Linked DNA regions of Styela clava. Each later gene encodes a partner of the first gene's protein in a complex. Links are inferred from orthologs where the notes say so. Each region holds a gene or a part of one and is shown on either strand. Other genes may lie near its edges.

The links. The genes of interacting proteins can lie anywhere in the genome.
Region 2: H/ACA ribonucleoprotein complex subunit 2-like protein (region 1) and H/ACA ribonucleoprotein complex subunit DKC1-like share a complex: the UniProt entries of both Drosophila melanogaster proteins name them as parts of the box H/ACA small nucleolar ribonucleoprotein (H/ACA snoRNP) complex. The link is inferred for Styela clava from reciprocal best matches to the Drosophila melanogaster genes NHP2 and Nop60B.

What each region holds. Positions count from the first base shown.
Region 1 is NC_135251.1:15,281,593-15,285,352, forward strand, and holds the start of H/ACA ribonucleoprotein complex subunit 2-like protein, read left to right. Parts: upstream 1-986; 5' UTR 987-1,001; coding exon 1,002-1,021; intron 1,022-3,760. UniProt on the Drosophila melanogaster protein: Component of the box H/ACA small nucleolar ribonucleoprotein (H/ACA snoRNP) complex, which catalyzes pseudouridylation of rRNA. This involves the isomerization of uridine such that the ribose is subsequently attached to C5, instead of the normal N1.
Region 2 is NC_135256.1:12,639,813-12,643,572, reverse strand, and holds the start of H/ACA ribonucleoprotein complex subunit DKC1-like, read left to right. Parts: upstream 1-849; 5' UTR 850-902; coding exon 903-1,008; intron 1,009-1,551; coding exon 1,552-1,592; intron 1,593-1,959; coding exon 1,960-2,141; intron 2,142-2,940; coding exon 2,941-3,125; intron 3,126-3,514; coding exon 3,515-3,579; intron 3,580-3,760. UniProt on the Drosophila melanogaster protein: Catalytic subunit of the box H/ACA small nucleolar ribonucleoprotein (H/ACA snoRNP) complex, which catalyzes pseudouridylation of rRNA. This involves the isomerization of uridine such that the ribose is subsequently attached to C5, instead of the normal N1.

The DNA of each region.
Region 1 (3,760 bases):
TACATTACACACATATAAATTTCCGAAAATTGTGATGTCGCTGATTTGAAAATAACTAACATACACCGGTATCGGTACATTACTATACTCACCTGAGAATTTCAAAATAACAAAATAGTATAGTCATCAAAGGTAAGACTACGGCTGCCAGAATGAGGGCAATCGAATATGATAATGAAGCCATGTCATGCCAAGCACAAATCAACGATTTTGCATCATATCTAGAAGTAAATGTTAGTGTGTAGGTATATATATGTCAGAAAAGGGCATGATCTTTTATATTTTAGACAATAGTAAGTCTAAGTTCCCTATGGTAAGGGTGACCAGAAAGCAAAAGCAACTTCAAAATGTATAAATATGCAACCTGATGCATTTATTTCTAGCTTTCTCAAATGTGTATTCTTAAAATAGCGCAGAGGACACTAAGAGAAATTAAATATTGGAGAAAAATTCCTGATTAAAATTCGTTTGTGTAAATGTGACTCAATGCGAGAATTTGGTCAAACCGTAAATAATTGAAATCTTTGATACATTTTTTCGGGTTCATTATAAAATGTACTTACGTGATTTCTCCCCATCCAGCCAATGTTGGCATTGTGATTAGGCATGACCAAATCCATGACATTATTGCCATAAAGATTCCGACATTTTTAGTGAAGTATTTTCGATAAGAAACTAGTTTTACTATCGCCCAGTATCTGAACAAATAATACATATGTTTAGATTGTTTACTAGTATTGATTTCATGGTGCGAAGAAACGACCCTAAATAAAAGTTTAAATGTTTATTTCTGCATCTAAGATTAACTATTTGAATAAAACTACTTTAGTATTTAAACGACTCTAATTATGTACTTTAAATAAGTCTATCAATCATACCATTTGGGAAATATGAAGCCTCGATTGGACTTAATTGAACTATGGTTAAAGGCCGAATGCCTGATTTTTTGGAAACTTGAAATATACACCAAAACCTTCTAGTGGGAAGGAAGAGACAAAAGAATGTTTGGTATGTCTATGAGGTGAGAACAACCTTATCGTCTGTTTTTGCTTTGTTAGACGATTACTCAAATAACTTTTTTTCTTACAAAAAAAATTAAAAACCATACCTATTGAATGCAATCAGAGCCATATTAGCCAAAGAAGAAACACAAGTAATGGTGACTATGAATCCAATTATCTGACAAAATATTCCATCAACGATTCTTTCGCTTCTTATTATTGATGCTGCTATGCAAGGTAAGGTCACGGAACACACCTACCAGTAGAAGTCAATGTGAATGAAGCGTAAGATTTGCTCTGAAAGCAAATACTGTAAGATTCGTTGGCGCGATATAAATATATATATCGATATTTTCGCATATTAATCTAAATTCTAGTCTAGGAATAAAATTCACAAAGGCCAGTTCGTGTTTTTCAACAAACTGACTCTTCTACAAATACCGTTATTCATATGAATTTATTCTTGCCCTGAATGTAGTTAATTTTTTGTACTCTTTATTAGTGGTATATCAACCAATAACAAAGAAAATTGCAAGAACATTTTATATTCTTTGTAAGACTCAAGTTAGGATTATCTCACCAATACATCAGCCACTGCCAAATTAATGATAAAGATATTCCCAGATGAATGCACTTTCTTCTCTAGCACGATTGAAAATATAACGATCAAATTACCGATTGTTCCGAGAAGTATTATTGACATGATGTAAATAAACTCGAAGTACTGTGAAACGAAAAAAAAATTCTGAATATTACAAAAATTAATGAAAATAGAAATATTTTGCGCTTTGCATTGGTTTTAATATTTAAAATACTTGCCTGCAAAGTTCCAAAATTTGGCCAGTAATTCGTGTCGTGATGTTGTGGGGAAACTGTAGAATTTTCATCTTCCATCTCGAATATTATTTAAGCTCTTGATGCGTCAATTTTCAGCTATGATAAAAACTAGTTCATCCGCGATCCTTTCTCTGCCAGCATGTACTTTTTACAAATACAAATAAAATACCACCACATGTTCAGGCGGATCAGCTAAAGCTGACTGCCCGAATGTGCCATATATCAACTCGCAAATTCCGACAAATAATAATTGATGGTAAACCACTCTAACGGTTCGAGGAAATGATGAATTGTTTGATCTTAGTAAATACCACACGTTAATGGTCAGGCTGTGAAACAACTGTAAAATAGACAAAAAAATGTGTAGAATAGAACGTAAAATTAACACTCTTCTGTTGCCATTTTGATTGAATTGTATTATAGCAAACAAATATACTAAAGGTGTATTGTGCTCGTTTACAACTGGTTGTGCGTTCTAGTGTAATTAGATTAGAGTATGTGATATAATCGTATATCTATTTCTTTTTATTAATGCTAAACCCAATTGAACTAGCAGGATGAACTTCTTTACAGTGCACGTAAGAAAAGATGAAATGTAGGCAATACTTATACGGTCAATAAGCATACAAGGTATATAATAATCATATACCAGTTAACAGAAAAATGTCTTATTCGTCATGATAACCTATTAAAAATCTATTAAGGTTGAGCGAAAAAGTAGTTATTCACATTTTTTCCCCTTGCTTGAAGGAAATTTTTCGGAAATACTACAAATGTTTCGAATTTGAGACATACTTGAATTTGAGACATACTTTTGAAATTTAACCCCAACTTTCCGTGCTCGATTATAAATCATGCGTAAAAACGGTAAGAACAAAAAAAAAGCACTTTGATATTTAAATGCCAAACTGAATCCGGGTAATAAAACGACGTTGTTTACTAGTATCAAACATTTGGTAAATTCACCAATAATTTCTCTACAATGAAAAGATTTTTCTCAAAGCCATATTTGCAAACGCCAATTAGATCAAGATTTTTATCTGTCCCAAACTCTATATTCGAACATAAAAATTTTAACCAATTATTTTGTTGTATATCGCAAATGTTTATGATATGTCTAACAGTATTTTCCAAGGACACAATATGTTGCCTTCCTGACACGACATCATTAGTTGACGTAGGAAGCGCGTAACTACGAATGTAAATCATGTTTGCTAAGCATAGAACACAATATGGCAAGTATGTTGTTTAGAAATAACATCATAGCATAAAACAAACTTTTGTCCGTTTGAATTAATAATCTGTGTATGATAAATTTCACATAATGATACAGATACCACGACGTTTTCTACATATTTGTCTTGCAATAAAGCAAATTCGAACATGTGAAGTGCTTTAATTCAGTATTCTCTTTTGTTATATACCAGACATAAGGAGAAGCTTCAGCATAACAGTTTTCTCATTCACTCAAACTTCAAACAAACTAAATTCATCATGATTGCAGACAAACATAGCATACTAGTTTCATGCTTAAATGTTACGTCAAATTTTTCTTGCCTAAAACGTCAACGATATTTCACCCAAACCTTGTTTTTTCTCATGAGTACACCTTCATGTAATAACATTCGATGCATTCGGCAAGGAAGTTTGCTGTAGCCATTTGACTTTCATGCTGACAAAATTATACTTGAACAAGCTTTCTTGATCCCATATAAATTTACTACGCGGTAAAATTGTATGCGCGTTTATTGAAATACTCATGCACAATTTGGACACTAGTTTTTAATATACATTTTACTGTAATTCCGTGTTTTGTGGGACAGTTCGTTTCAGTTATGTGCCTTATCTTCACACATAAGCTTCAAAAAACACAGATATGATTCCAAAATCAAATGCATTTGCAGCAATTGCACATTACAAAA
Region 2 (3,760 bases), on another chromosome or scaffold:
CTGATAGTAATGCAGAGTTGATGAGTATGAGACAGTCCAAACAATGTTTAGGGATAGACTAGGTGACTATGAAGCAATCTAAAAAATTCGAAAACAAAGCTGATGGCTGATAAATTAAACAATATATGATAGATCGCACTATTCAAGCGAGAATCTCTGAAAACTTGTGAATATTATTAGAGTTGCGCTTGCTGTTAATATGATTAATTTTTTTCATACCTTTTTGACTGGATGTCATGAGTCTAGCAAACAGCGCGGGAAACTAATGTTGATCGGGGGCTGTGGCCTGTGGGCCCTTTCCATCTTCTCCCAAATTTATACTGTATTTTATATTAATATGCACTTTATATCTCATTTTTATCTCAAAAATCGATCGTGCGCCCAATATATGTATCAGGTAGTCAAGTGCTTTATTCCCCAGGCTTACACCCAAAACCGGTATAGCTTCAATAGCCGGTGTGTCTTGCAGCGCGATGCGACCTATTTACGCGCGCCTTATCATAGTTAACTGAATACGGCCTTATGGTCTGTAAAATATGGTGCTAGGATTCGTTTTTATATAGTTAGTCGTTGGTGGAAACACACGACTGCGGGATATACCAGGTCGCCTAGGCGTGCTTAGTGTTTTTTATTGTATTTCATATATTGTTCGACGTTTTACTCATGTTCTGTTGGACTTTTTTGGGTACCCCTGCTGGATAACCATATTTTGGTTTCCCGTTCCCCCCTCACCCTGGAATGCTATTTTTTATATATAATTTGTGAGTGTGCATATTCAGCATGGTGAAAAAATAAATTGCTGATTGCTGATTATTTCTTTACTCAAAACCTGCTCAAAAACCTCGAGACTTGCCGCCGAGGTCGACCACGCGTGACACGGCGCATGCGCCTTGGTGTAAAACATGTGCACACGACAATTTTGCACGTGGAAAATATTTCATTGCGGCGATCGACGTCTGACTGTTTTCGTAGATTTAGTCATGTCTTCAACAGATGTCTCGCAGAATGGTAAGTTCATATATAATAATTACATGTCTATCATTTACTAGCTTTTACTTTTTTTATTGAGTGAGATTAACTGCCCTGAGATATTGAAACCAACTGTATGCCTGTATCTAATGTCTGTATGCTGGTTTGTCAAACCACACACAGTTTATCCAAACTCAATTCGTATTTCTCTGTTTCATAGACTAGTCTTAAAGCTTTCCAGCATTGGCTGATTGGGCATGAATGTAATATAATAAATTACCATAACTCACAAATTTTATTATGTTATTGGCGGATTGGGGACGGATTTGAATCCCAATAGTCTATTGCGGTATTGAATCACAGGAATCAGAAATATTGCAGCCCCTGAATTCTGGAATTTATACAAAATTTGTTTGGCATGCAGCTAGTACAGTAACAGACAGACAGAGTAATGAATGAACCTGCTATTGTTATTGGGCTTATGACCTTAAATGAAGAGTTGTTGAATCTATGAATAGCCATTTTCAGATTTTTGTTTTTTTCATCCTACCTGTTATTCTCATTTGCAATTATCAATTTTAGGTTCCACAAAGAAAAAGAAAAAGATGAAGCACTCAATTGGAGTATGAACTTGATTTGTTGCTATGAATCTTATTTTAATATTTCAACCTGACACCGGTTCCAATAAAACCAGACTGAATCAGCAACATCCAGCACCTGGTGCACCGCACCATGCAACTTTTTTGAAGCCTATTAACAGAAAATTTTACCTAATTTTACTAGTTCATTTTGCATTATGACAAACTGAATCGATGCATGATAAAATATAGTAAATTTAATCTATTTTCTTGAAGGCATTTTTCATGTTGTATTTAATGAATTCTAAAATTATAGCTACCTTTTTTTCAGTCATATTATATGTTGAATATATTCATGATCAGCGAAAAGTCAAATATTTTGGTGGAAATAACTAAGTTCATTATATTTCAGGAATTGCAACAGAGTGGTGATTTTTTTGTCAAATCAGAAGAGAAACCTCCACCTAAATTAGACACATCCCAGTGGCCACTGCTTTTGAAAAATTATGATAAATTGAATGTGCGAACAAATCATTACACACCTCTGCCTTCTGGTTGCTCACCATTGAAAAGAGATATTCAAGAATATGTTAGGTCTGAATTCTTATACACTCTCTATTACTGTCAGCATTTATTTGAAATATTTTTTGTTTGCATTTGCAGTATTGCATAGAACCTAATTTGCTAATACAGTGGATTAATAAACTTAGGTAGTGTTTGCCTTTATCATAAGTTGAATGTGAATATAAATCATATTTCTGATTTCCTAAAACAAAATTCTGACAAATGATGATAAAATATTGATGACTGATTATTATTGATGAGTCAATAATCACTCTAATTTTTTCCTGATGTCAGTCTTTCTGAAACTTGTTTATTTACTTATTCTTATCATTTATCTTTACCAATATTGCGACCCCTAATTGTTACGTCTTCCTAAGATAAATTTTATGTCAGGAACATATTTGAAAAATGTATGAAACCTAGGTTTTGTAAACTTTTTATACATGAAAAGGGGCTCCTGAAGTATGCGAACCAAGATGGCGGACATCGGAATGTAATATGTGTACTAGGTTAGGGTTAGGCCATAATGTTAGGTATAAATACTACGGGAGGCTCTTGGCTAGTCTTCGAACTGATAATAGGACTAGAATAAGGAAAATTGGAAAAAAATTATCGCCTAACCCTAACCTGTTACCCATGTTACGTTCCGATGTCCGCCATCTTGGTTCGCATACTTCGGGAGCACCCATGAAAAAGTATTGGGAGCTTGATTCTACTGCTTATATTTTAATTAATTTTCTGAAATTGGTCAAAAAAACGAATTTCATCACCGGCACACAGTTGATGCTGTGTATAATAGAATACCTTTCAACAATAAAATTCTTTGCAGAACCGGTTTTATAAATCTTGACAAACCAGCCAATCCATCTTCACATGAGGTTGTGGCTTGGATACGAAGAATATTAAGAGTAGAGAAAACAGGACACAGTGGAACGTTGGATCCAAAAGTAACCGGTTGTCTAATTGTTTGTATAGAAAGAGCGACAAGGCTTGTTAAATCTCAACAGTCTGCAGGTTAGTTTTTTTGCCAGACACATTTTAACAAATTGTCATTTTTTATAAGTTTGATAGGCAATGCGAATCAGGCAAAACTCTGGAGCTTCAAGAAATAATAGAGCTTTACCCAGATGTTACTGCTCGTTCAGAGCTTTGCTTGTAGAGTGAATTTAAAAAACGTATAAAAAATGATAAAAAGGGTTGTTTGTGGTGAAAATAAAGCGATTTATACAACTTCTTTCTTTAACCGGCATATGATGACACAACTCGTGTCTGATATTCAGTGATGTTTCAATGTATTCACTCTAATTTTTTACTGATGTCGGTTTTAAAATGATTAATCAAAAAGAAGGCCACGCCAGTGTTTTACTTGATTGACAGAAATATTTTCTGTGTTTTTTTACCAGGTAAAGAATATGTCTGTATTGTAAGACTTCACAATGCAATAGAAAATGAAGTAAAACTCACAAGGGTGAGTATTTGGGATTCATAGCAAGGGGAAATATTAATAAAAATAGAGCATGTAAAAGGAAATATTTCTCACATTGATATGCAAATAGATAAATTGATTTGTCACTGAATTTACCAACGTACTGTCTACTGTGGCATCTATATGTATTTGGCCATCAGTATATTTTCTTTAAAAATTTTTG